Kluyveromyces lactis: one gene and its partners. The protein of the gene in region 4 purifies or fractionates together with the protein of the main gene of each other region. This does not show direct contact. Links are inferred from orthologs where the notes say so. Each region holds a gene or a part of one and is shown on either strand. Other genes may lie near its edges.

What was found.
Region 1: the proteins of LUC7 (region 4) and SNU71 purify together in Saccharomyces cerevisiae (affinity purification with mass spectrometry; 7 studies listed by BioGRID). This does not show direct contact. The link is inferred for Kluyveromyces lactis from reciprocal best matches to the Saccharomyces cerevisiae genes LUC7 and SNU71.
Region 2: the proteins of LUC7 (region 4) and SMB1 purify together in Saccharomyces cerevisiae (affinity purification with mass spectrometry; 5 studies listed by BioGRID). This does not show direct contact. The link is inferred for Kluyveromyces lactis from reciprocal best matches to the Saccharomyces cerevisiae genes LUC7 and SMB1.
Region 3: the proteins of LUC7 (region 4) and PRP39 purify together in Saccharomyces cerevisiae (affinity purification with mass spectrometry, with the first as the bait; 3 studies listed by BioGRID). This does not show direct contact. The link is inferred for Kluyveromyces lactis from reciprocal best matches to the Saccharomyces cerevisiae genes LUC7 and PRP39.
Region 5: the proteins of LUC7 (region 4) and SMD2 purify together in Saccharomyces cerevisiae (affinity purification with mass spectrometry, with the first as the bait; 3 studies listed by BioGRID). This does not show direct contact. The link is inferred for Kluyveromyces lactis from reciprocal best matches to the Saccharomyces cerevisiae genes LUC7 and SMD2.
Region 6: the proteins of LUC7 (region 4) and SMD1 purify together in Saccharomyces cerevisiae (affinity purification with mass spectrometry; 3 studies listed by BioGRID). This does not show direct contact. The link is inferred for Kluyveromyces lactis from reciprocal best matches to the Saccharomyces cerevisiae genes LUC7 and SMD1.
Region 7: the proteins of LUC7 (region 4) and PRP42 purify together in Saccharomyces cerevisiae (affinity purification with mass spectrometry; 3 studies listed by BioGRID). This does not show direct contact. The link is inferred for Kluyveromyces lactis from reciprocal best matches to the Saccharomyces cerevisiae genes LUC7 and PRP42.

Annotation. Positions count from the first base shown.
Region 1 is NC_006039.1:1,598,661-1,603,544, forward strand, and holds SNU71 (Snu71p), read right to left. Parts: upstream 3,015-4,884; coding exon 1,308-3,014; downstream 1-1,307. Other genes in the region: MSB2 (Msb2p), read right to left, coding at 1-386; MCY1 (putative cysteine synthase), read right to left, coding at 3,169-4,323; nicotinamide-nucleotide adenylyltransferase NMA2, read right to left, coding at 4,548-4,884. UniProt on the Saccharomyces cerevisiae protein: Component of the U1 snRNP particle, which recognizes and binds the 5'-splice site of pre-mRNA. Together with other non-snRNP factors, U1 snRNP forms the spliceosomal commitment complex, that targets pre-mRNA to the splicing pathway.
Region 2 is NC_006038.1:47,307-50,821, forward strand, and holds SMB1 (mRNA splicing protein SMB1), read right to left. Parts: upstream 1,793-3,515; coding exon 1,217-1,792; downstream 1-1,216. Other genes in the region: CHZ1 (Chz1p), read left to right, coding at 2,229-2,747; Rab family GTPase YPT31, read right to left, coding at 3,087-3,515. UniProt on the Saccharomyces cerevisiae protein: Plays a role in pre-mRNA splicing as a core component of the spliceosomal U1, U2, U4 and U5 small nuclear ribonucleoproteins (snRNPs), the building blocks of the spliceosome.
Region 3 is NC_006037.1:711,984-716,895, reverse strand, and holds PRP39 (Prp39p), read left to right. Parts: upstream 1-2,029; coding exon 2,030-3,877; downstream 3,878-4,912. Other genes in the region: BFA1 (Bfa1p), read right to left, coding at 1-1,549; UV-damaged DNA-binding protein RAD7, read right to left, coding at 3,938-4,912. UniProt on the Saccharomyces cerevisiae protein: Function prior to stable branch point recognition by the U1 snRNP particle to facilitate or stabilize the U1 snRNP/5'-splice site interaction. Has a direct role in the assembly or function of a catalytically active spliceosome.
Region 4 is NC_006042.1:688,355-692,153, forward strand, and holds LUC7 (Luc7p), read right to left. Parts: upstream 2,203-3,799; coding exon 1,432-2,202; downstream 1-1,431. Other genes in the region: FG-nucleoporin ASM4, read right to left, coding at 1-1,172; KLLA0_F07271g (uncharacterized protein), read left to right, coding at 2,441-3,136; endopeptidase catalytic subunit IMP1, read left to right, coding at 3,228-3,731. UniProt on the Saccharomyces cerevisiae protein: Component of the U1 snRNP particle, which recognizes and binds the 5'-splice site of pre-mRNA. Together with other non-snRNP factors, U1 snRNP forms the spliceosomal commitment complex, that targets pre-mRNA to the splicing pathway.
Region 5 is NC_006040.1:781,234-784,396, reverse strand, and holds SMD2 (mRNA splicing protein SMD2), read right to left. Parts: upstream 1,542-3,163; coding exon 1,209-1,541; downstream 1-1,208. Other genes in the region: Ras family guanine nucleotide exchange factor CDC25, read right to left, coding at 1-545; MCM DNA helicase complex subunit MCM5, read right to left, coding at 1,884-3,163. UniProt on the Saccharomyces cerevisiae protein: Plays a role in pre-mRNA splicing as a core component of the spliceosomal U1, U2, U4 and U5 small nuclear ribonucleoproteins (snRNPs), the building blocks of the spliceosome.
Region 6 is NC_006040.1:319,829-323,078, forward strand, and holds SMD1 (mRNA splicing protein SMD1), read left to right. Parts: upstream 1-1,887; coding exon 1,888-2,313; downstream 2,314-3,250. Other genes in the region: UPF3 (Upf3p), read left to right, coding at 1-129; KLLA0_D03740g (uncharacterized protein), read left to right, coding at 371-703; KLLA0_D03751g (uncharacterized protein), read right to left, coding at 693-1,256; U4/U6-U5 snRNP complex subunit PRP38, read right to left, coding at 2,461-3,165. UniProt on the Saccharomyces cerevisiae protein: lays a role in pre-mRNA splicing as a core component of the spliceosomal U1, U2, U4 and U5 small nuclear ribonucleoproteins (snRNPs), the building blocks of the spliceosome. Also binds telomerase RNA and is required for its accumulation.
Region 7 is NC_006039.1:1,318,705-1,323,461, reverse strand, and holds PRP42 (mRNA splicing protein PRP42), read right to left. Parts: upstream 2,769-4,757; coding exon 1,119-2,768; downstream 1-1,118. Other genes in the region: YCX1 (Ycx1p), read left to right, coding at 1-1,099; HEM3 (hydroxymethylbilane synthase), read right to left, coding at 3,253-4,236. UniProt on the Saccharomyces cerevisiae protein: Essential component of the U1 snRNP particle, which recognizes and binds the 5'-splice site of pre-mRNA. Together with other non-snRNP factors, U1 snRNP forms the spliceosomal commitment complex, that targets pre-mRNA to the splicing pathway.

The DNA of each region.
Region 1 (4,884 bases), on a different chromosome or scaffold from region 4:
GAAGCCGAGTATTCAGAAGATGGGATACCATTTCCACTGGTAGAACGTGAGATCGCAGAAGAGGTGATCGATGAAGGAGTCAACACAGAAGTGGTACCTGAAGTACTACTCGAATCATCATCGCCATTACCATTTCTCGTACGACTCTTAGAGTGCGTGCTTGAAGAAAGCGAGAACGTGGATGGTTCTGCCACTGTCAATGAATCGTAATTCAAAGTAGTTTTCCAACTGCTCTCAGTGCTGGAACTGGTCTCGGTACTCTGAATGGATCTAGTAGAGTTATCAGAACGAGAAGTCTGGAAAAAATCCAGGAATCCTTGGGCAGATACTAAAAAGTTGCCCAAGAATATAACGGTTAACAAAAACCTTAAATTGGAAAATTGCATCGTGTTAAGCGAATGAAATCAAATGAAAAAAGAATGTAAAATAGTTGGAAAAGTAATCAAAGTTTTGCCGAAGGCCTTAGTTCAAACCTGAGATTCTCAAAGTTTTCTAATGACAAACCGGCAATCCGTAATAATAAGTAATAATTTTATATCACCAAACAATGGGACGGGGAAAAAAAAAACAGAGATCGATAGTACACTTCAACCTGCCTGAAGCTCTTGTCACGTTCAAAGTATAAGCTCACTAAACAAACGATGGCAGTTTCCTAAAGACTGAGGATTGGAAGGTAATTTGGATCAGTAGGTCAGTTCTGATAATCTTTCTTTATTAAAAACCTCTAATAGATCCTTCTTATCAAATGTATAAAAAACTTATAAGTAATTTGAGATGAATCAATAAATGAATGAATGGAGGAACACAAAGAAAAGAAAGATGTATACACCAAAATATTACCACTGGTAACGTTCTTTGTTGAAAAGTTTGACCCTGACGATAAATCTCGAATCTAAAAACTTATTATCTTTTGCCTAAAGCAACCCGAACGAAAACAGAAACTAAATTCCACCATTATCAGGTGTGTACATAAGTTACAAGTAATAGAATCTCTATGTTTGTTCCTTTGTTTATCTCATCCTGCCAATTCTTCCTGTAACCGTTCTGGATCTGGTAAAAAATTGGTGAAGTTGAGAATGTATCGCTATATACGATATACAAAACGCGAATCAATATGAAACACGATTACCCGGACCTCTAGTAACCTCATGTTACCGCCCGATCTGGCTGGAACACTCGAATCGGGCGAAAAAATTTCGTGACAGTCACGTGAGACGTAACCGGGTAATAGAATCTCATTATTAGACATGTGACACACATACCTACATATACATATATATGTATATTCACATGTATGGTATATTCCACTACTGTTCCATCGCTTCCCATATACGGCTCACTAGGACAGGGCTATCTTCGTCGAACGTCTCTGTAAGCTCAGTCTCGAGTGCCTGTTTCGATTGATGTTCTTCGATGTTTTCAAAGATATATGAGACTAAGTCGGGCTCGTAAACTCCCAAGTATTCTTTGACGAGTTCTTCCACTACGCCGCTTTCCCTTAGTAGATTCAACTTCTGTTGGAACGCATCGGTTTCAGGAGTCTCTTCCTCTTCTATCTCATTCTTTGTCTTTCCAATGGATTTCTTTAGTGCTAATTTAATCTTTGGTGCAGCCGTTGTCGCATCTGCGTCCGATACCAATTTTGTCTCTGTCTCTGTCTCTGGCTCTAGCTCTAGCTCTAGTTCTGTCTCTGGCTCTGTTTCTGTTGCTTTTTTCTTTGGTACTTCTTCAGATTCCCGTTTACGGTCCTCTTCATCTGCCTTGGATTCAGATTCCTTGTATGGCCTGTGATGGTCGTGGTAAGGATCCATGGCAAGATGTAATAACTCTTTTAACATAGGACCTTTGTTCTTTTGTAAATGCGTTTCGTAGTTTTGTAACCTTTGGTATTCTTGTCGTAGCGATGAGTATTGGACCAGTAACGAATCTTGGAAACTATGAACCATGGATTCATACTGGGCTTCTTGCGCATCTCTTTCCGCTTGAACTCTTTTTTTTTCCGCTTCGTAATCGTCCGCATCTTCATCATCGTAACCCTCAACCTCGTCGTCTGAATCTTCAGAGTCACTTTCAGCTTCAGGGGCTGAACCTTTTTCCGAGCCTCCATTAGTAACCTTGATACGGTCAAATATATGCTTCAAGTTTTGTTTCCTCCGTTTTTCTTCCTCCGCTAGCTCTTTATTCCGTTTCTCTTTCTCTAACGTAATGACACGAGTTCTAAACTCAACAATATCCTTACACAATTGGTCTAATGAGGAACTCGGAAGGTCACTCAACGTACTTATATCCACGTTATACTCAACGGCACTATTTCCAGCCAACCCTTTCTCCTGAGATATAGAGCCTGGTTCAGATCTCAACATTGTAATTAATGCGGAGAACTCATCTTTTGCAGTTTCATCGAGTTCCTTAGCAGGAGAACCTTCCGTCAGATCGCAAACGAACCGTCTAGTGTTTTCATCCATGTGAAGTCCGATCCCATCTGACCCGTTGTCAAACAATTTCTCAAGTAACTGTATCGCTTTCCCATATTCTTCCACTATACTTTCCTGGAAACTTATATATACCGTCAACGTATTCACACAATCGACGTAACTCCATTGTTTGATAAATTTGGTCTCATTATCTTCAACTTGCAGCTTTTTCCGTATTAGATTGTCTAGTCTGTCCATAACTTTATCAATACCCTTGGATCCAAGTCCCAGTGGAAAATGTGCTAAACAAACGGTATGCAACTGTTGTTCTAACGAAATTGGTAAAAAGGACTTCAAATCAACATAGCGTGAAGTTGAAGTCTTGAATTCATCAGAATTGTCCGTTTCATTAGTCTTCGAGGCTACTGAATTCCCTTTATCATGGTCTCTATGGCTGTTGGCTTGTTTCAACGACTGTTCAAATTTGGGGATATCACTCTTCAAAATCGGCACATATCCTGGCTTCGGCACCTGTGATTGCCAGTTCTTCGTGTCTCCACAGCAGTATAATGTGGGCGACACAAACAATACAGTATCCATTAGTGAGTTAAACACGTTCGGCCTAGTAGTATCAGCGTTTATTTGCTAACTCATCGCTGAAACTTTACGTCTACTCTCTCGATATATATATTTCAAGATTTTTCCAATTAATTGATATTTACAAAAGACCAAAGTTAAACACACTGTACGTTATTTATATGATATCTGAAATTGAAAGATCGTTACTCACCTGCAGGGCCTCTTTCCAGAACTTGCTTAAATGTCTAGAGCCACTGTCACATGCAATGATGCAAACATTTGAACCCTTCGGTAAGTTTTCCGCATATTTCAGCACTGCGACTGCATTGATTGCAGTACTGGCACCAACGAATAATCCGTCATTTACACATAAGAATTTGGCCATCTTAATAGCTTCCTCGTCTGTAATTCTGATGGAATCATCTATATAATTTTCCGCTTTCAGAAAGTTGTTTGTAATTCTGTTAAGACCAATTCCTTCCACTAATGTGTCCACTTGATGTCTTCTTCTTGTTCCTTCTTTCTCTACGTTATCGTACATGACACCGTATTTGATTCTATTGTAGAAACCCGAGCCTTGCGGATCAGCCAACACAATATGTACTTTGTCACCTCTTTTCTCCTTTAGATAACGAGAAACACCGGCCATGGTACCACCAGTACCGCATCCCGTGATGAATGCATCCACTTCCCCATTTAATTGTAGATAAATTTCAGGTCCTGTCGTTTCGTAATGGCATTTCCAATTGGCCTCGTTCTCGAATTGATCTGCAAATACACCAACACCCTCAGTGTACTCTTCTGAACACGACTTAGCTGCATTTACGTATTGGTTCGGATCCACTATACTAGCAGGTTTTACCTTGTTCACTATTGCACCAAGTGCAGTTAAAAGAGAAAGTTTCTCTTGGCTTGTATCGTCCGGTAGCGAGATATGGCATGAGTAACCCAACGCGTTACAACATATTGCAAGGGATATACCTGTAGATCCGCTTGTTCCTTCAAAGATTCTATTTTTCTTATCACTTGAACCCTTAATACCTTCCTGCGATGAGATGGTTTTGATAATATTCAAGGCAACTCTGTCCTTTGCGCTACCACCTGGATTATTTAACTCCATTTTGGCAAAAACGTTCAAACCAGTATAATCGGAAAGAGATTTAATTCTTACCATTGGTGTATTTCCTATCAAGTCTTCCACTCCATCCTTTGGTGGTGATAGAGCAGTTAATGTAGTTGTCTTAACCTTATATGCATAGTATAACGATGCAACAGCCACGAAAAGGGATGTTACACAGGCATAATCCTTCCATCTGTCTGCAGCAGTCATCGTTACGGAGCTAGATCAAAGGATAACAGCATGCGCAACTTTCGCTAGACGACAAATACTATTGTTGATTAAGAACTTCTATTATAAAAAGGATTTCAACTAACTAAAAACTGTTACAATTTGTGTGTATATTATCTTCGAGTTAAAGACATCACGTGAGTCTGACCAGGGAGGAGTCTAGAAAGGAGAAGGAGAATATGTGATTAGAACAATTAGTGTCACACTCAATCCTTGTTACCGATAACTTGTTTCACTGGTTCAGTTTGGTTTACGTACAAGCCATGCTCTTGAATATATCTGATGACAGAATTTGGCAGTAAATACTGAACCGACATTCTCCGTCGGATGAATAACCTTACCTTGGTGGAAGAGATATCATTATAGATCAACTGTTTAATGACAAGGATATTCCTTCTGTGTTCGTACATGATATCGTGAGACAACAAGAACGAACGAACATCTGAACCTGTTCTTTCCACGATGAGACAGCCGTAATTACCCAAAATATGATGTAAATCATAATCTGCCCAGACGTTAGGTTCGCCCATGGATTCTATCAAA
Region 2 (3,515 bases), on a different chromosome or scaffold from region 4:
CGCTTGGGACAACCAGGAACCGTGCATGCGAAAGGCTTTTCTCCTGTGTGTGTTCGTATATGCCTTGTCTTGTGTTCCAACCTATGGAATCTGTTCCCACAAATTTCACATAAATATGGTCTGTCGTTGCACTCTTTTGGTGTTGACATGTTAATTTGTTTGTTATGTTTTGTGATTTATTGTTATTTTGGACTTTATTGGTGGATATTGTATCGTATAACTGGCTAGTAGTTCACTCTGTGATGGATCTTCTCTTTCCTGATAAGGCTTTTGAAAGGATTATGTTTCACATTTAAGTTAATAGGAACTAAACGATTCAGGAAAGAGACGAAAGAAAGATAGTGGGGGGAAGACATGACAAATCGTGGTAACTACCCATATATATATATGTATGTATATTTAAGTACACGGTGTATTATGATGATGATGATGATTACGGTGCTTTGGTAAGTTAAAGTGGGTTGGATTTCCACCATCTTACGACAAAGACTGAACAGCTGGACAATTAGAAATTAATGACGAGACTCTATGAAAGCAACGGAGCTTGAATTTGCACAAAGATTTTTTTTTTATTCAGGTAGATTACTCCAGGGAGAATAATTTTTCCGAAACAATCAATGGTAATTTCTGGGGGAAATTAGTGGAAGCCTCACACGGAAAATCTCGAAGTGGTTTTTCCGGGATGCTTGAACAATCAGTAGGACTATTTCTCCGGATTCCTATAAAAAAAACACACACTCATGATATCGTGGCATGCGATATATTTGTTGTTTTTGCGAAACTTGCAAACTCTAATTCTTGCCCGTTCTCAGCTGAGAGATATTCCGCACCATGATTGTCCAGTTGGAAGCCATATTTAACACATAACATTTCTTTTGTCCGCAGGGCTATGGTGGGGTCATGGGGTATATCTGGAGGTTTCGTATAGGCATTTGGTGGGGTGGTTGAAAAGGGAATGAGGTGGATAATCATATTTCGCACAGGCTTTTAACGTTGCGCAGTACAGGGATATCATTACACTGGATAAAGCTAGATAAATTCTATATCTTCTTGTTCTAGTCGTTACAGTGGGATATCCAAAGTCCTCTGCGTGTACGTAAGAGGTAACTAAAGACATATCTATCAACATGTCTCGGATAATTATAGCTAAGATCGGTGATCGTAGCACCAAAACAATTTTTTTTATATCAATAAGTATGACAAGTTGTTCGCTGGTTTAGTTTCTTTTTTTGAAGCCTGGAGGGGCTTGGAACCGGCTGGGGCGTACCTGACTATTAGAATTAAACCTACTGGGAGCTCCAGAATTCGTATTGATAGGTTTATGACTTGGCTTCGTAACTCTATTTGAACTTTCTGAGTTAGTTGAAGTTATATTAGATCCATTCGTTCCAACGTTCATCTTGTTAGAAGTCTTCCCTTGACGAGCCTTTTTCGCATTATCTAATTTTTTTGCATTCTTCTTCTGGACTTCGATTCGTTCCTTCTTAGAGAGTTGGGGAGGTGACTCAACCGAGGTACTCAACACATGCTCACCCCGTAAAATTATTAGTCCAAAAGTCCTTCTTTCGACTTGCACATTGCTTGACAAGTTTCCTCCACTTTTAAGTACTTCTATGATTTGTTTATGAGGCATGCGTTCCTCTACACAATCTCCCATTACAAGGTTCATATATGCATCAAAAGCCATAAGTTGGCCAATATAAACCCTTCCGTCATGGGTAGCGACTCGTATTCTATAATCTATCAAATCTGATAGCTTCGTTTCCTTCTTTTTAACTTCAACTTGCGACATCGTCCTTGTATCTTTTGTATGATATGCTTAGAGATATAACTATTCTTCTTGGTGAACAAAGAAAGTGAAAAAGACTGTAAACTCGATTGTAAGAGGTATCCTTATATCATGCACAAAAAAGCGGTCCGTAGCAGTGATTCTTTATAGGACCAACGCAAGTTACTCATTGATCGTGAAACTAGTTAATGTTTTAATTTTCGATACAACATGATAGTTAGAATTCATCCACTATGCGGCTATGAAAAAAAATGATCACGTGGAAAATTATGTTTCTTTGGGATTTGAGATAATATGAATTATATTTGGTTCGCAAGATGCGAAAAGGAAACAAATACTGGTAAGCATCTTTAGATCAAAAAAAGCATTGCGTGAGCCTAGGTCGTACTCCTCGAACATCAGCACACTAATCATATCAACAGATACAAAGTTTGCAAATATGGCTGAAGAAATTAAGGATAAGCAAGAATTTCAAATAGGTGCAGAAGAGCCTGACTCTTCCAACGTTGCTTCACAAGCTAAAAGAAGTGCTGAAAGTGAGCTTGCTTCTACCGCTGATGCCAACGATAAGAAATCTAAAAAGAAGAGAAGAAGAAGAAACTATGATGATTTGGATGAAAAAATTGCTCAAGAAGACAAGGCATCTGCTACTTCTGGTGCTAACAAGGAAGAAGATAGTGAAAGTGAAGTCGATGACGAAAAATTAGATCAAATGATGGTAAAAGAAGATGAAGAAGAAGACGACCTTTCAGAAATCGATAGTTCCAATATTATAACTACTGGTAGGAGAACTCGTGGTAAGATTATTGATTATAAAAAGACTGCCGAGAAATTGGAAAAAAATGGTGAGGTTGGCAAGGATGATGATGATGATGAAGACGATGAAGAAAATGACGAAGAGTTCAAGGATCCAGCTGCTCCTGCCCCTGCCCCTGCTAGTCCGACTGAACCCAAATAGAAATTTGAATTAAAAATTTACTCAAGCGCATATAAAAGTTTGTAGTTTCACTAAATCTCCATGTTTGACATTATGGTAGTGTTTCATTTAAAAGAACAATGGATACGACGCAATGAACTGAGAAGGTATTTTGCAGTTAAGAAGTTTCAGGATGTCCTTCCAAACAGCTAGTATTTGCATAATTATGGCAGTCAATGTTATATACATAAAACAAGTGTCTAACTTAATCGGGATAAATGTCCCAGTCGATGATAATTCTGCTTCCCTTTTTCTTTCCGGGGCTTATACTTTCTATATAAACACCCTATAAGGAATGACCATAATACACGTTTAGAATTCCTAACAGCAGTTGTTTGTACTCTTTTTGTGTTTTTCGTTTGGTGCCGGTGTCAAAGAGATCGTAGGTCCCTTTGGAGCGTTGGCATTGTTTCCTGAGGCGTCATTCAAGTCTAGTTGATTTTTGGAAATCATTTGGTAGATAGCAGTAATCAATGCTCTGAACGCTTCGTCAACATTGTCAGCATTCAATGCACTAGTTTCCGTGAAAAGAAGTTGATTTTCTTGAGCATAATTCCTAGCCTCATCTGTTGGAACCGCACGTTTATGATCCAAATCAGATTTATTACCAATGAGTCCAACAGCGACATTTTCATCGGCATTTTGTTTCAATTCAGCCAACCAGTGGTTACAATTTTCGTAGGAACTTGATTTAGTGATATCATAAACTATTAAAGCGCCAACTGCCGCCCTGTAGTATGCTGTGGTGAT
Region 3 (4,912 bases), on a different chromosome or scaffold from region 4:
CGAACGGCAGTTGAGACTGTGATCGAAGAATGTTACCAGAATGTCCTTGTGATTGGAATTTGACGTTCTTGGTAGGTGAAGATTGAGATCTTGGCATCAAGTCTGTGATACCATGAAACGGATCTTCTTCAGTACCATCAACTCGTAGCCATCTTAGGTTCTTTTCATCAAATCTCATTTTTCCCACGACCTTCCCATGCTGAGAATTTGAGGAGGCCGCATTCGTCCCTGATGCCGCTATTTGAGTAGAGGACGAAGTCTTCAACGGAGACTTTGACCTTTTGTTCTTGATGATAAACGCTTTCCGATCGACATTTTCAATGTTATCGAAACTGCTTAAAATATCCTCATTACCATCCCATCGTTTCTCCCTTGGGTTGTATTTCATCTTACCTCTTTTCAACGGCGTGTTGAGATCAATTTCTTGTCTTATTGTCTTTAAACGAGCACGAGCTCTTGTAGAATTACGTCTGTTAACAGCAGCAGCAGCAGCGGCCTGTTTTGCCGTACCCCGTTGTTGACGAGCTTCCCTATACGAATCCAACGGAGCGTCGAACGCATAATGCTTCTTATGCAGCTGTGGTGTTAATAAAGTGTCATCATGTTCGATATCATACTCTGAGGGTGATAAACGTAATGTTGGATCAAATGCTGAAAAGTTATTGTTGTTATTAGTAGCGAACTGGAAGTTATCGTCAATTCCTTCAAAATCATTACCGAAATTATCGTCATCGTCGTCTCCATTATTAGCCATTTCTGTAGCCTCAACAGCAATGTCTTGGACAACGTTACCGTCATCAGTTCTTTCACCAAACCTTGGTCCAAGATCCCTGTAACTCCTTCTAACTCTGGGCACATATGGATAGGGTTCATCATCTTCATCTTCATCGTCATCTTCGTCATCTTCGTCCTCAAGTAACACATCTTGACGGTTGAACCTCATTAACGATGGCATAGATGACTTATAACTGAGAGTTCGACCAGAACTGGGTCTAAGGTTCATATAAGACCTGCTGTTCGGTACTCGACGCGATTGCTGTGAATTCAAGCTTGTAATATTACCTTTACTACGGGTTGCCAAATCGACCATCGATCTACGCTGTCGTACCGAATCCTTCAACGATGGCCGCACTAGTCCCGCATGGTTTATATATTGATCCACATTTCTAGTACCACTACCACCACCGGTCTTAGAATTTCTCAGGTTCAATGATAGCTTCTTCTCCAGTTGTTCTTGCAAATCAGCTAGCTCGTCCTGATCCGAACTTTCCCTAAATCGTCTATCCACAGCAAGAGGTAGGTCTGTACCATTTTGGTACTCTTCAAAATCACTGTTATAGTTCATATCATCATCAAGATCGCTCGCCAGTTCCGTGTGTGATGAATACCTCTTATCCTTAGAGAATGTGGTATTTTCCGTAGTTGTGGATGTAGCTGAATTAGGTGCCAATCTCGGTACCTCTATATCATCTTTATAAGTAAATGTGCTTTCAACATCTTCAAATGATGTTTCTCCGACATCATCCAGTACAACTGGACGTATAGACATCGATAATCGAAGATTGTCCCTGGTCTTTTCCCTTGTTTATTCCTTTGTTTACATCTCGAACATACCTTTAATGCTTCCGTCATTGATGTATCTATTAACCTTAAACAAAATAATCATATTCGTGAGACGTGATACTATATTAATTGCTGTTTAAACCGCTGTTGAGACGCCAATTCTGCATTTCGAGCACTCCTATAAAACACTGAGATTCCCAGAATTCGACTAAGTTAATAATTACCTTTTAAACACTCATTTAGGCGCGTTTATCTCTGTTTGTTTTTCTTTCATGCTTCCAAAATGATTCAAAATTGCAAAGAACCGTATTATTGTAATTCTTTAAGATAAATCTCTGTTAAAGATGCATGATGCCACCAAACAGAACAAGAGCCTTTAGCTGCTATCCGTGAGCCGTTTTGAGTGTGAAGTCGGCAGCAGGGGTTTGCATATCAAATTTAAGAAGGAAACTAGGGATTTTATGAAATGTTTGAAGGATTAGACCAAACTTTTCTGAAGAATAACGATGAATGGGTGCAGAGTTATAATTCTGTTGACTGGAACGATATAACTACTATCGACAAACTGGTGGTTGGTACAGAAGCATTGGTACAGAAATACAATAATCCCAATGAACATGTGAAGAGCAATATATATAAAGTTTTTGATGAGTTATTGGGAAGGTATCCGTTATTTTTTGGTTACTGGAAACGATACGTTGCGGTGAAATATCAGCTAGATGGATTAGAAGGGTCTATTTCTACTTTAAAGGCATCTTTACATTCGTTCCCTACGTCGATAGATCTTTGGATTGATATGTTGAACGTTTATCTAACACATAATCAGAATGATAGTGAACTGATACGAAACCAGTTCAGGAAATGCGAATCCCTCGTGGGATCTCATTTCCTCTCGCACGATATTTGGGATAAGCACATTGCATATGAAACAAGACTACAGAACTGGGAAAACGTATTTGAGGTGTACAAACAAGTCATGCAGCAACCTTTGCATCAATATGCAAGATACTACACCAGCTTTAAGGAATTCTTGGAATATCACCCAGAGTTTGCTAATAGGGAATCAAGCATCCATTTGGATACCACATTTATTTCTAACCAGGAGAAGGTGAACAAAATATGGACATATGAATCACAAATAAAACAGCCATTTTTCAATATCCCTGAGCTTCCCGAGAATGAGATTCAGAATTGGGATGCTTATCTATCTTTCTTAATCAACAACACTGAGTTCAGTACAGAATTAATAAAATCGACGTTTGAGAGATGTTTGATTCCATGTTTAAGATACGAATATTTCTGGGGAGCCTATATTGACTGGACTGAAAGGACTTTTGGTCCCGAATGTACGTTCCCCTTGTTTGAAAGAGCACTCCGGGCTCTTCCTGCTGATAATAAATCTTTCAAGCAAAAATACATCAAATATTTGGAAAGTAATATGGATCCATATAATAAATTATCTTCCAAACACTATATGGACGCTCTATACACGTTCCAGCTTAAATGGCCACATGATCCAAGTTCAACTATTAAATATTTAAGGTTTCACAAGAGAAGATATTTTGCAGCATCTTTGAATGATGAAGACAAAAAGATCTTGGAACAACAGAGTAAATATGCTACATTTTTGGATAAAACTATCAAGGCGTACCTATCAGGGAATGCAGATACGGAAAATCACGACATTTCCCAGCAGTTGCTTGCCATGCTAAATGACACTACTCTTCCGATACTGGTAGTTGAACTAATAAAAGTGCATTGGCTGGTATTGAAGAACGTCATTCAATGCAGGAAACACTTTACATACTTCGCCAAATTGGATCCGATCAAGACTTCAGTCTTATTTTGGTTGACTTACTACAAGTTTGAAAAGACTCAAAAAAATATCGCCAGATTAACAAAGTTTGTCGATCAATTAGGCACTGAGATCGTATTACCAACAAAAGTTATCAATGATATCGTACGAGATTTCCAAGGGTTTTATCTAATCAATGCAGATTATTCCGAGTACGAAACCAATTTATCGCAATCCCGTTTTGGGTTTGACCCAATAGTTCACAATAGGTTCAAAATCAACAACCCAACATGGAGGCCGAACGCCAAGCTAACCAAGGACTGGTATAAATCAGAAAAGTATAGATCGAACGGTCATCCTGGATTGTTCATTGATAAGCCTCAAATTAAAAATACTATAATAGAGACGCTTGCATCGAAGCAGCTCAATCCAGCACCTTTGCCTACTTTTAGAAATTTAGAAAAGATCCATCAGAAACCTAAATTTGATGATTACATGTCTATAGATTATTTAAAGTAGTAGCTGAAAGGGCATTCTCACACTCAAGCATTTTCATGATCCTAGAATTTTTTTAATCATTTATATACTGTCACTTTGCCTTCCGATAATGCTTACACCATTCCGAGGAGAGCATTTGCCTGTGACTTGATTATCACCATAAACTTCAATAATAGTGAGCTTTTCATTGTCCTTGGATATCTTTTCCACAATTTCATTATCCACACAGTGGACAAACCCTATATTTAGCTGCTTGAGGTTAGGACATGCCATGAAGGTGAAAGTTTTGGATGTTAGGGATTTCAGACCATTTAGATTCAACTCTTCTAAGGTGGAAGAGGAGTTAAGTAATAATTCAACTACGGCTGCATCCTCCAAAGCAAAACATCTTTTCAAGCTACATCTTTTCAACAAAGGGAACTGCAACGAAGAGAATAATAGAACTATGCCGTCGGTGGTTATCTGATCCAATTCTTCTAATTCCAAGTCTGTAAGGATTGATTGCCCTGAGTTAGACAAAAATGGTAAAAATCCATTAATTATACAGCTATCAGTCAAGCCAGTGCATCTATTGAGCGACAACTTCCTAAGGTTCTGGCCTATGGATCCTAACAAACTTATAATAACCTCGTCATTAATATCTGTTTCTCTAGATGGCTCTTCCAAGATCAAAGTGTGGAAATTAGGAGAGTTAAGATATTGCGGTAATAGGGCGTAATTTGTCACAGTATCTAGAGTTGCTAGACCTAGAGATTCCAAGGACGATCCACAATTTCGAAGCATAGCTGACAATGCATTATCATTGAATCTATGGGTATTGGAAACATGAAAAGCAGTAAGTCTACCCTTTAGCAATTCGAAGAATTGAACCCATGTATCCTCATTAATTAAGAACGGTCCATCAAGGTATAGTTCTTTTAGGTTTGGTAGCTTTTCGGCTAGATACAAGAGAGCTTCATTATTTAACTGTCCACACATCTGTAAGGAAAGCGACTCTAAATGCGGCGAAAAGATGGCAAGTCTCTTGTAGCCTTCATATGACAACTTTGAACAGTC
Region 4 (3,799 bases):
TGCTGTTCCTGTTCTCGTAACTTGTTCTCCAAATTTCTTAAAAAGTTTGGACCACCATGAGGAGGGTTTGCATTATGCACAAACAACTGCTTTCCATCTTTGACATCCAATTTCCGAGTAGAAAAGGTGAACCCATGTTTATTATTATCAGCACTTTCTTGTGTCCCATTTTGTATATCAGATGATTCAGGTCCGTTTGGTTTCATCGATAAACTGAACGGGATTTCTCCGATGTCATCAGTTTTATCGATTTTGCACGAAGCCAATTGTTCTACGGCTGTTTTGCTATAAGGAACGCAGCCAATTAAACAACCTCCATAAACGGTACCATTCTCTTGTAGAGCTCTCAGAGCGGCACTAGGGGAGTCATACGTGATTTTAATCCATCCATCGCCCGTGAAGATAGGATATTTCTTATGAGGAATTTTAGAGTCCTTATTTTGAGCACGAATTCTAATAGTAGCACTGGATATGTTGTTACCTGTAACACCTCTTAGAACCTCAAGGTCCTCTAAAATATTTCCGAATTTTGAGAAATGTAATATTATTTGGTTTGAAATGGATTCTGGATATCCAAATACAATTACTGCGCTCTCTTGCGATTTTTGTCTTGATATATCATTTGTTTGATCCGCTGTCGGTTTTACAGGGGATTTCGACGCATCTCTGTCGAATGCGTTTCTTGTGCTCTTAGTGTATTCTTGAGTCAAAGGTATTTGGTTAGACGAAGGCATTGCGTTCACGTTAGTGGGGACAGACCCGAACTCATCCTCTCGTTGCCAATCATATAACGATTTTGTTGGGGGAGCTTCATTCGATTCCACATAAGTCGCGATATCAGTAGGTTGTGCAGGCTGCGTAGAGCTGAATGTTGGCTTCTTTGTGCCAAACTGGACGCTATTGAATCCGGATCTTTGGGAAGAGTTGTCATTCGAAGATCCATCTCCAGATGAGCTCGGTTTAGACGATCTTTTTATCACGGATTGTGGAATGTTTCTCTTTCTAGCTATATTATACCAGTTTTCTTCCTTTCCATTCGTGGCAGAGCTCTGTACTAGTGATTGTGAACTATTCTGCTGTTGTTGGTTTTGCTGCTGCTGCTGAGGATAATTTATTTGCAAGTTTGCAAACCTGTTCTCTTGTTGCGCTTGTTGGCCAAATACTGAACTCATGATTTAGGATTGTCAGTTCGCTTTCTCAACAATGTTTCAACAGTCAAAAATGATCAATTTATCCTACTTGAAATTGAAGAACACACCAAACCACAGTGTTACCGGTGCATATGAACATGCTACGATGATAACAGCTATTCTCATCTAATCTTATTCTTGATGTTTATTAGTTGAAATTGTTTTATTTCAATTAGAATACTCAAATCCGGGTAATGTTTGCCATTATGAACAGCTTCAGTGTATGTGTAAATTTATACATTCACGATCGATAAGATTTACCTCTATATACTGCTTTTTGATGTCTCCTTGTTTGCGGGAGATATGTGTGAAGATCTGTCCCTTGTTCGTGCAATCTCTTTTTTACCATGTCAAGTTCTTTACGCATAGTTACGTATCCTAGATGGAGTTTGCCCATGAAATGGTCAGCGAGTCTTCTATCCGTGTCTAATCTTGAAAGGTAGGCTCCACATACACGGCATACCTGTAGCTTCTGTTGTGCACTTTGGCCTGTGTTTTCGTTCATTTGCCTGCATTTTTCGCTGAGTGTGTCCCTTTCTGTTTGCAGTTTGTTATATTTACAGCTTTGAATCATCGCCTTCATAACTTCTTCGTTTTGTATAAGCATATCGATTTCTGAAAGCATTAAAGCACATTTGGATTCAAGCTGATTCACTGCTTGTAGAAGTGCTGCTAATTTCGAATGTTCCTCATGATGCTGTAACTTTTTATGTGCCATTTCAATTTGAACATCACAATCACTAAGAATCTTCTTCAAGATGGAGTAATGCTCAAGGTCAAACTCAGGATATTTCTTGCCCTTCTTTACATCTCTTTCATATTGCATTTTATGCGAGACTGAATGTATACGTGGACAATGCCCCATGGGCTGCTTGGTCTCTTGGAAAAGGTCATAGGGGCAATGACCAATGATAAATGATTTGCACGTTGATGGTGAAGTTAGCCCATGCGATGTGGCAGCCGAAGACATAAGCTGAGAAATCAGCTTGCGCTGTTCTAAAATTGCAGACATTTCTCACTTACAAATATCTCTGATGGAAGTAACACCAAACTGTTGCGTGCAGTTTGGACTCTGTGATTAACTTTTTCTGCTCTGTTGGTCAGTTCAACAATGATACTTCTTCAGTACGCCTTTTCAAGTAGCTTGTTGAAAATGCCAGGTTTAAATTCTGACGACAAAATATACTGAAAATAAATATATAATAACACAAGCAAAACATGACACAAATGGCAGTTTAGGTTTTCTAAACATGATCATTCCTATCTTAGGTGATCCTTTTGAAATAATTTGTAGTACAATTAGAACATGCAAGCTAGAAACAATGGAGCCTGTATTTTCTGCTTTAGTTATTGGAGGTAATGGTAATGACAGCGCAATTAGAATTTGTCGAGAATTGATATTCAAATATGGCATTAAAGTTATCAATGCAGATTATTGGGATGCCAGGGATGATATTCTATATGGATTGGAAGAATATTATAGAAGTGACGATGTAAGATCCGATAAGTGGATTCTTACATTTGATTCTCATATCAACTTGATCAATGACAGAAAAAAAAACTACGAGTTCGTGAACATTAATACCCAGAACTGGAAACCGATTCTTTCTGGCGTGAACGTAGTTATCAATTTGACTCAGTACTATGAACCTACCATTGGTGGCTTGCTTTCCACACCAATTCAAGAGGTAGACCCATTGATAGATTTATGGTGTCACATGATCGAGATAATGGAAACGGTAAGGTTGACGACCCATTGCACCATTGCGTATTTGATCAATAAGGATACTAGCTTCAACAGAGGTTGGGGAATTTTTGCCAACAGTACGATACAATTATTGGATGGAAAGCTTTCCGTGTGTCAAGAGGATTACGACGTGTATTTCTCACCAAAAGAACTATTTCAACAGTTCGAAAATGGAACTTATGCTGATATAATGAGATGAGAGAAATCTAGTATTCCAGAGAAGATTTAACTAGTAGTGCGGAAAGTGGGAAAACATCCACAACACCGAGTATTATTTGGTGTTAGCAGTGATGAGTTGGCTTAATATTGGTAGCTATGTGGTACGTACAGTTTGTTTGATACATATAACTCATACACATTTCTATGAGTTTACAGAAACGAGAGGTGAATCAATGTTACCGACCTTGAATAGAGTAAACGATTACGTCCATGTTCTGAAATGGTATAAGGACGGACGAGACTTAAAGATGGGAGACTGTATAGTTGCTATGAAGCCCACAGATCCACAATCTAGAGTTTGCAAACGAATAACTGGAATGGAGGGTGATTTGATATTAGTTGATCCCAGTCAAGAAGATGATGAGGAAGCTTACGAAACTTTTATCAGGGTTCCAAAGGGTCACGTATGGGTGACTGGGGACAATCTTTCTCATAGTTTAGACTCCAGGACATATAATTCGATACCCAAGGGTTTAATCAAGGGGAAGATCGTAGCAGCGAACGATTTCAGCAAGCCTCTATCGACTTTTTGGGGGTTTAGAGAAATCACTAACAGCTATTTTGATGAGAAATGATAAAGTTCAATGATGAAATAGGAATGTTTATAGAAGTTTATGTTCGTATTGAATGTAGCTATAGAAGT
Region 5 (3,163 bases), on a different chromosome or scaffold from region 4:
TTGACACTACTTGCAGAATTTGAAGGAGACGTCGACAGTAGCGTTTGCCCACTATTTATTGCATTATCATGATTATCGTGGAAAGTAGTCGTACCAAGACTTTTCCTTCTAAAGTTCCCGGTACTCACCAAAGATCCCCTTCTTGACCCAGACGTAGAACGAATATTCATATTCCCAGATGGGCTGCCTATCCTCAAACTGTTCCTCCGTGACCCATGGCTACTAGGCCTATTATTAAAAGCATTGCTGCCATGGTAATTCAGAGGAAATATCTTCCGACTTGAACTGGTATCCTTTATTGATTTAGTATAACTTCTGGGGAACCAGCCCCTCAAAACCAAGCTCTTATTATAATATAAAATACCGTCCCACCAACCTGAGTCACTCTTCGATATAACGTAGATAATATCACCGGCAAAAAACCGTAATTGAGATTTCCTTAGCGGATTAAAGTCATACTGCGCTATCACTATGTCCAAAGGTTTTATAATTGTAGACAATCCAGCTTTTGGAGGATTCATTCCCTCGTCCTGTGGCCTTTCCATTGTCAGTTGTGAAAGCTATAGAATAAAAGCACACTTCACACGCCTCTTTTTAATATATAACTCTTTGACAATAGTACCTAACGTTGTCCTGTGATTGTTTTGATGTATTTCAGTTAGGTTTTGCGCTTTGACTTATCCCTGTGATATAAAAGAGCGATTTGACTAGTTTTTTAAAAGAGTTCATGAAAGTGAAAAATAAAAAAAAAAAAAAAAAATATGAAGAAATATCATTCGTGAAATATCCAAACTGAGTATTCGTTACGTTAAAACGGCAAAAATAGTGATTAGCAGTATACTGAATTTGGTAAGGCAACCCCTTAGCTGTAAAATAAGGGATGTATTGGGTTGTATGGTTTGAGCCGTATTATGTATTGATATCTAGTTCTATAGAGGATTAAACGGTTCTTTTGAGCTTGAATTACGTATTTTGAGTATGCGCCGTTTGGAATTCGACATATAAAAACTAGGGAGAATCCGGGCACAGATCAGAAAGTTACATTGGTTCAATGCGGTAAAGGCTTCACAGAAGATTAATGCATCTTTGTCCTGATATTTGATCAGATTATTAGCTCTATAACCCTTTTACTTGATGCTTTCAGTGGCAGCGAACATATCAGTACACGTGACTTCAGAAAGGATGTTGATGGGATGATAAAAACAGGTTCATGTCTTTACCACTATAATCACTGAGTCCCCTCTAAGAAAGAGTTTCGCTACGAATCGCTCTCTGTTAACCTTCTTACCATTTACATTCTCTGTCCATATTTCTTTAACGTTTTCCAGAACCATGTTACAGTGCTTGTCAAAAGATTTCACACGAGCTATGAGTTTATGATTGTTCCTTAGTGATATTATAACAGGTGTCCTCTGTAGCATTGATTCCCTGATTAGAGACATGGGTCCATATTTCATTTCGAATTCTTCTAGTTGTGTTAGCTCGTCTCTAGATAGTTCAGACCTTGAAAGGTCTGTCTTTGGAATATATGTATCGGCCATCGTGTTTTAGGTCAATTTTCTAGTATATGTAACAGACAAATCCTGAAGATAAGTCCTTGGCTTATGATATTTGCAATCTCGTAAGTTTGTGATAACTTGTCCTGATTGCCATATGATATGAGAGGTTCCTTCTTTGGTCATCTCATCATCTCATCCTGTGCATCAAACCCAATATACCATCCAGTTGTTTTCTTTCGGATTATCCAATTATCATTATCATTATCCGGGTAATCTTACACTATATAAATATCAACACATAGTCGCTGAAATTCCTTATACACAGTGGTACATATGAGTTATAGACAATGTTCAAGGAGGGGTTCCTGAATTTCATTTGCAACTTCATACTCCACTTCTATAAATATTCTGACCTTGATGTCTTAGTTGAATAGAATCATGTCTTTCTAACAGGTATAACGCCTTATCTAGCGCATATTGGGGAAGTTTCTTGTTCACAACGAATTCCCTTTGCAAAGTTTTGTAACTTGTAGACCATCCTATTGGCAACCTTCTTTTCAATTCAGATTCGATTCTTCTAATTTGTGAGAGCATTGTTGTATCATTTTCCTGGGAGTTGATAGGATCCTGAGAGGCAGCATCCATCGTAGAAGCTTGGAATAATCTAATGGCTTCATCAACATGTTTTTCGGTCGCTACTGGATTCAGTTCTAATTTAGCTAAAGATTCTGTGATACGAATTATGGCTTCTAATTGACGAACTGTGATTGGAATGGAAGACCTCTCATTGGAATGTCTTTCGGACTCTTGTAATTGTTTTCTAATAGTGATGAAATGAGAAGATAATTTTGTGGCTGCTTCAGGAGATAACCTGGGGGCACATTTTAACCTACAGTAACTAACATATCTCTTCATAGTTTCTATTGGAATTTCGTTGTTGGAGTTGGAATTATCATTTGGATCGTTTTGTTGAGTTCTTCCTGTGTGAATGTTCATGACGTGGTTCGCAATTTGGATATCTCTAGCTTCATTGTGATCATCTTTAACAATGAAGATCATATCGAATCTGGACAAGATGGTAGTTTGGAAATCAATGTTTTCACCCGGTGATTTCAAATCATCATATCTACCGTAAACAGGGTTTGCTGCAGCTAAGACACTAGTTCTAGAATTCAAAACGGTAGTGATACCGGCTTTAGCAATGGAAATAGTTTGTTGTTCCATGGCTTCATGGATGGCAACACGGTCCTCGTCTCTCATCTTGTCAAATTCGTCAATACAGACAACACCACCATCAGCAAGCACCATTGCACCTCCTTCTAGGTAAAATTCCCGTGTAGTTGGATCTCTTTGGACACTTGCCGTCAAACCAGCTGCAGAAGAACCTTTACCAGATGTATATACCGAAATCGGAGAAACTTTTTCCACAAATTTCAACAGTTGGGATTTTGCAGTACCAGGATCACCAAGCAGTAGCACGTTGATATCACCTCTTAGTCTCATACCATCTGGTAACAATTTCTTCGATCCGCCCATAAGGAGACAAACGATGGCTTTCTTGATATCAGTGTTACCATAGATACTGGGAGCAATTGAGTTGGCGAAAAGTTCATATAGATCTGGTCGTTGGGAAAGCTCCAAAAATTCTTGTTCTTCACTTTCCG
Region 6 (3,250 bases), on a different chromosome or scaffold from region 4:
CGTAAGCAGGAAAACACTAAGCCAGAAAAAAATCCATCAAGTGAATCAGATAAGAAAGCTAAATCAAAGAGAAAAAGTAGAAAAGGAAGGCAGTCTGATGGACCTAAACACAAAGACAAACCAACTTAATATGCAGACATCGCACCAATGGATGGCATCTCGATATTTTGGCTTAGTTCTCTTTTACGTGCCCTTTCATTTATTCAAATGTGCAGAATATTATTTCTGATCTCTGACACTTGATATTTAAAGGGAGTGTGACAGGACTTTTTAATATTAGCAGCTTTGTGGACTAACAACAAATTCATTTTGCAAACTCAACTAAGGATTATTACACACGCATATCACTCGCCATAATTTTCATCGATCGATGGTGAATATTAGAACTACAGAATTAGAAGGAGATTTAGCACAGTTGACCTATGAACTTGGGTTGAAGGATAAGGAAGTCATGACTTTAAAGCAAAGTCTGGAACGCCTCAATGCTGAAGTCGAGAAGCTAAGAAACGAGAACAGAGGCTTGAAAAGCGAATTGGAACATTGGAATAAACTACCGATGAGTCCAATATCTTTGTCTTCAGAAAACGATCAAACTGAGGACGATAAAAACCGAATGATTCAAGAGAATTTGCGGAGAGAGATTCTTTCCTTGAAGAATGAAAGTAATATTTTATCAGAATGGATCAAGACCCTTATTTCTTGAATTTCTTCAAATAAATATTCTGAGCCGTACCCAGAATTGCGTATGCCAAACTAAAAAATACGGACCATTTATCTGGTGAAATGTATCTTTGAGCAATTGACATCAATACCGTTGATGTTGCCAAGCTGGAAGACAACATTGCCGCATATCTTGTCTTGATTGCGTGTATAATTTTTGTTTTGTCAACCTTACCGTTGTTAACAGAAGTCAAGGTAAATAGTAACCCTAACACTTGAATAGGCGATACCATGCCTAATGAGCAGCCTAACTGGACCAAGCTTCTATATTTGGATACCACTTTCCTAATTGTGTATTCGTTTATCCATTTGTAACTGAAATGATTAACTGGTGCGTTAAATAGACCACCATATAGACTCATCAATGCCACTTTGATCCAATTTAGCTTCTCTTTTCTTTCCTCTGGAGACAGACTAACCCATTGACTGAACAGTTCGCTTAACCCAGTTAATACCGCGCCTGTTATGCATTTAGTTAATAACGGGTTACGTTTGAGTAAAATATTATATCTCTTCAAGATTACTGATGACGACATGTTTACTCTTGGCGTTAATCTTTAATACTCCCAATCTCTCGATGCGAGCAGCAGTAACCTTGAAAGCTTGCGATCCATGAGATATGAAAAGAGTAATATCTGACTTTAACATCTATATATATATATATATATATATATCCAGATTTTATCAAAGCAATGACTGACAGAACGTTTTGTTATCGCTTGCATGGATAGTTTCTTATCGCACTTCTCCGTGTATCTGTTAACCATTTAACATGAGATGCAACGGATCTAAATACTTTTTGGGTTCCATGTAAGATTCGAACACATGCTCGCTCGAATGTAAGAAACCATTGGAATCTCACGCAAATGAGTTACCCTGTTAAGGCACGTGATAATATGAAATTTCCACTCTTTTCCAGGAAAGAACGACCCCATTGATTCTTGAGTATCAATTTGAACCATTTCATCCATCATTATGTAGAATATGTCAATTGAGTAACTACGATCAAATCCTGATCTTTTATCAAAATCAGGAAGTTGCTTGTGGATCATCTGTTACTTTTGCAAAATTCAAAACTCTTTTTCATCAAAACCATTTGAAACTGGTAACAGCTTTCTGGTGTATCTTTAGTCCGATTGAAACAACGAAGTTTTATATACAGACAAAATGCAGTTAACAGGGTTCTTAAAGAAACTAAAGAATGAAAGGGTGTCTATAGAGTTGAAGAATGGTACCACTGTTTGGGGAATAGTGAGGAGTGTGTCACCGCAGATGAACGTCTCTCTTACTGACGTCAGGCTGACACTCCCTACTAAGACCTCAGAAGCTACCTTGGCTGCCGTCTTATTGTCAGGTGGATCGACACAAGGACAAGAATCTAAGAGAACAACTAGCCTCGAGTTCATCAACATTAGGGGTAATACGATAAGGCAGATTATTTTACCAGATAGTATCAATTTGGATGCGTTGCTTGTAGACCAACAGGAAGTCAACAGGTTGAGGAAACAAGGTAAAGTGGGAAGTGATCCGAATAAGAAGAGATCACTTGAGAGTAACGGGAATGCTCCTAAACGTCCAAAGAGGGCATTTTAATATACATCAGAAAACATATGTGGAAATAAATATGTAGTGATGTTATGGACTTTGTTTTGATGAATGATTAAACACTATTGATAATTATCTTTCATAATGAATAGCCGTTCTTTCCAGTCGATGCCTCCAAAAAAAGAAAGAATGGAATCAAATTTGATCACTGTCATCTCTTGGATCAGAGCTGGAGTCCGAGTCGCTTGAGCTCTCATCGTCCTCTTCATCGTCCCATATTTTACACCAATTGCATTTTCCTAAGGGGATGCCCCAAATTTCATTCCTGTCGCATAACCAGTCTATCAACTCATCGAAATGTATCAATTTAATCTCTTTTTTAATCGATGATGACCAACAATCCATATCTAACGAGTAACTTTTTAATTTTCTATGATCAAGTATATATTTCTTCATTAAATCATGTAATAAATTGAACGATATATCTTGCTCGGAAGGATTACTCTCAGTTAAGAAATAATACGAGATTCTCATATAACATAATACCAGTGCTGCAATATACTTGTTGTTTAAGGGTTCATGCGGTTCTAGTAATACTTTTAGTTGTTCCCACGGAGGTCGCAGGTTGATCAATTTCATCAATAGACATTTGAACTCTATACCACCTAAGACAGTCACATGCGGGGTTTTCCGCTCATCCATAGTCCCGAAATCTCTCACAATAACAGGTATAAGTTCGACAATGGTATCTCCCCTCAAACTTGCGGGCGTTAAATTAAATTTATAATACATGCATGACGATACCTTATTTCTAAATATTTGAGGAACTACCAAAGACGCTGATTGGTGATTCAATTGCTTTCCAGACAAGTTCTCCTCCACGTAGAATTCGTTAGGCATTGTGTGTGTTATGAATAATACTAAACTGTGTCGAAGACAGTAGCAGCTGAGCTCTTTTGTTCTTTATATTTGATATCTGCCCTCT
Region 7 (4,757 bases), on a different chromosome or scaffold from region 4:
TTCGTTGAACGAAACCAGCCCGCAGGACCCTAGTGAAACAAAATCAAGTACCTCCCTATTCAGTCCACAGGCGCAACATTTATATCATAAATCAGACCTTGAATTGAATTCCCCAATTAGTGATGAGAGCCTTTTGAGACCAAAGGACCGGATGGAGACACTAAGATCAGCCAGTGCAGATAATATACGCTTGATGACGGAACAATCAAGTATGTTGGATGACATGTCTGCATTGAACTTACAACTTGATAACGGAATTTCAGCAGAACCAGAGGATCAGTGGGAGTCCAAGTTAAGGGTGTTCAGATATCTAACTGATCCAAATTTTGCGACTTCGAATTTCGAACTAGCAATAATTCTCATCACCACACCAATTGTTTTCTTTCTGACTCTTATAATACCCCTTCACTATTCGTCAATGTCAGGGAGTAACTTTTTCAAAGCTGCGTACTATTGTCAGTGTGCATTCTCCCCGTTCTTGACTCTTCTGTTGGTACAACGTGAATTTAACATTTGGTTATTTACTCTTGGCTTAATTGTATCCTGTATTTTACTTTTGATGTTCTTCAAATGGAAACTAACGGTCAAGGAAAAATATATCTCTTTATTTGGATTTGTTCTTTCAATTTCTTCCATATCATTTGTTGTTGGGTTGGTGCTTGACATTTTAACGAATTGGGCGGAGACGTTCAATCTCTCAGAAGCTATACTTGGTTTGACAGTTTTTGCGTGGGGAAATTCTATTGGTGATTTGGTCTCTAATGTCACATTCACCAGAATTGGAGTATTGGAGATTGCATTGGGTTCCTGTTTTGGTAGCCCTCTACTATATTTCCTATTTGGTGTTGGTGTAGATGGCATGCTCGTCCTTCTTCAGAGGGAATACCCTGAAGGTACAGCAATATGGAGTAGGCACATAGATTTCGATGTTAATCGTGGACTAGTCTTCAATTGTATCGGCATAGTCATAGCGTTTGGCATATTTATTTTTGTGGTCCCCCTAAATAATTGGAAGTTAGACAAGAGAGTTGGCTGTTTACTCTTATTCCTATATGGAATTATCACTACTATAAACGTCTATTTTGAATTGAATAAGTGAACTTGTAGACATAAACTAATTAAATAGGAACTTTCATCTGTCCCTGATTTGTGTAGGCTTCAGTAAAGAGTTCCATATCATCTGGCAAGTAGTTTGAAATAAACAATTCTACTTCAGACAAAACAGCCTTACCATACTTTGCAGCAGATGGAATGATATCATTTATAATATGCTTCCGCCTCTTTAAATAGGTGATATTATTATCGTACCATACTAGAGAACAATAAAGGTACCAGAACTTTGGATTTTCCAGGAACGATTTCCATTTGCTATTGATTATGTGTTGATAAACTTTAGTTTCAACTAAAGCACGCGGAAAACGCTCGTACATTTCATTTACCATGTTCAATAAAATGTATTGTCTGTTATGATCATCTTCTTTACTTGCCTTTTTCATCAATACATCCAGTAAATTGTCGGAGAATTCGATGTTGTTTGTTAAACCACTGAAGCGACTTTTTGAATTGGCAGAACTCAAGAACAAGTTGAATTGTATGTAGTCAATGAATATTTCGAAATCATCGGAAGTAGTTAGATCATTTGAGAATGCGAGTGAAATATCATCATATAATTGATGGAGTTCTGAAATCTGCCCTAATCTAATGAGAACCGAGGATAACATTGTGACAATCCTGGAACGCTTGTGAACGTAGGATAAAGCCTGTAACATCACGTTTTTGGCACCAATGAAATCGTTCAAATCATCAATTAAATAGTTGGCGTACTGCAACCATATATGGTCATAATGAGCTAAAGGGAGCACAGATCGCTGAAACTGAAGCTTGATTAGGTCTGAAATTTTCTTTTCCCTGATATATTCGAAATATTTCGTCCAGACGATGATTTCCTGGTGTGGAATAAGTTCTTCCGCAGACATGTAGTATCTTTTGGTGATCTTACTTTCAAACAATTCATATATCTCCATAACTTCATACTGTACGACAAGGAATAACTCTTTAGAAACTTTCTTCAAAGCTTTCTTGGCGACTTGCAAATGTGGGCCTCTGCGACCATTCAATTGTGTGTCTATCTTCAACTTTTTCCATAGCTCTTTATCTTCCGCATAGAACCTTAATTGTGAAAGATCTTTAACATCTTCAATGGTTTGTAGCCACAAATCATAAAAACTGGAATATTCATATAACGGTATTTCTATCACTTTTCTTAACGTTCGAATGTAATGTTGCGGTGTCTTGCATCGCAGTTTTATTTCGTTAAGATACATGTGCCAAAATTCAGCACCGAAGAAATGCAATCCAATGTAGGATTCCGCAAAGGCATATTTTTGGAAAAGTTGCTTATCACTGGGCATAATTTTATTGCAGATCTTCAAGTATTCTACCCATATTAACAATGACCTATTGTTGAAATACTGAAGAGCATTCTCGAATATAGCGTGAAACTTACCAAAATTCCCTAGTTTATACTCCAATAGTCCGTATTCGACATGATAATTCTCCAAAAAGGGGAACTGGTAGAGTAATGATTCATATGTCGATCGTACTAGCTGAAGAAGGTCTTTATTAATAGATTTTGAGATAGGTGATGCCTTCAGCAATAAATGATTCAAAAGATTCTCCCAATGGTGCAAACTTTTTGGATATTTGCATATTAAGAGACTGAATTCAGATAGCTTTTGATCACCTAATAGATTAAGATCATCTTCCATTTCCTTTTTCACAGTACTGGCAGAGCAACGATGATTTCAGTGCGTTTAGCTGCGTGCTCTACTTTGTTATGTTGGCTCATGAGTTAAACTACGTGTATATATTTCATGTTCTTGATAATGGTCATTTTTCTATTTTGCATCTATAAACAAAGAAATAATTGAACAGACCTACAACTGACATGGCAAAGAGATCTTTGTTCGGAACTCATTCCAATTCATTGCTTCATCGCAGTATATATATAGGTTTGTTTTATGCAAAAAGGGTCTTAATTAAGTGCATGTTTTTTCTATGATTAAACATTATTTGAATAAGTAAATATGCAAATTCATACATCAGGATAAAATTAAAAGCGTAAACGGAAACAAGAGAAGACATTAATAAGTGAATTATAAGGCAAGGGAAAAGGGTGTTTATATTGAATGCCGAGAGTTCATGCCCATTCAATTTTCTTCCACTCTCGTGTTTTAGAAGGAATGTTCGTCATTAAGTGATTTTGTCAAGATTGATAGAGTCTAAGATCTCTTTGGCACCATTTTGGGTTAGTTTAGCAGCAAGTTCTTTACCACAATTTATACTATCTTCCCTTTCGTTAGAAATGGTGACCTTATGTTCGATTTCTACCCATTCAGTACCTTCGACGTTGATAACAATACCTTTTAAGGTTAACACTTTTGTACTTTCGTCGTAGTTGGATACAACACCAATTGGAACTGAGCAACCACCTTCTAGAGTTCTGAGTAAAGAACGCTCGGCTAGACAGCAGATAGTCGTCGAAGGATCACAAATTTCTTTTAGAATTTTTTTCATCTTCTCGTCATCTTTTCTGATTTCAATACCAAGCGCACCTTGACCGACTGCGTAGCACATTGTGTCAGCATTAAAACGCTGGGTAATTCTAGAATCAAGTCCACTTCTCATTAGGCCGGCACTGGCCAAAACGATACATTTGTAAGGAGTCTCTGGATCATCTAATTTCGCCAGCCTGGTTTGAATATTACCTCTGATACTTTCGAATTTCAGGTTTGGAAATTTTCTCTTTAATTGAGCAGATCTTCTTACTGATGAAGTTCCGACCACCGAGCCGTCAGGCAACTCTGACAAGCTACTGTACGGAGAACCAATTGGCATGACTAGAGCATCTGTAGGATCTACACGTTTCGTGATACCGCCTAATTCGAATCCATCAGGTAGAAGAGTTGGCATATCTTTCAATGAATGAACAATCAGATCGATACGAGATTCATCATCTTTGTACAATAAATCTTCTAGTTCTTTCGTCCACACAGCCTTCCCACCAAAAGAATACAAGGGCTTAGACTGAACTTGGTCGCCAAGAGTGTGTACAGATAGAAGTGGACATTCGATATGGGAAAATTTCGACTCAATCATGACTTTGACTTGCTCAGACTGAACAACAGCCAACTTCGAACGTCTGCCACCAATACGAACAGTTTCTTTAGATTCCATTATGATAGCTTAATATATAACTAAAACCCAGTACAACACTTTAATGAATGTACGATGTTATCTTTCACTTTTAAAGCTGAGTCCCTTTTGTTAAATGATTGAATAGAGATGGAGACCAAACTGTCTATAATACAGGTATTTTAATCCGAACAGGAACTTTATAAGAGTTAAAAACACTTCAATGACTAGCAATCAGACACGAAATCAATAGAATCCCTTTATATTTACAAGAACGGTGGATTCTGACTGAGGTTGTTAATTAAAGAGTTTAACTTTAATATCCTAATGTAAAGACAAAGGATAAACAACCTTTCTTTTTTTAAATCTTATTACAACTATCCGAAATGCTATTCAACACCAACCAGTTGAATTTCACGGGTCCACCAATATTAGCAGCAATTTCCAATGCAAAGGTATAGCGTCCACTATCAATGAAAATATATCAGATTTGTCAAGGGCTATCCCTCTGTGTATCATCAACGTCTTCAAATAAAAGCGCTTTTATGTGTTGATATCTGGTT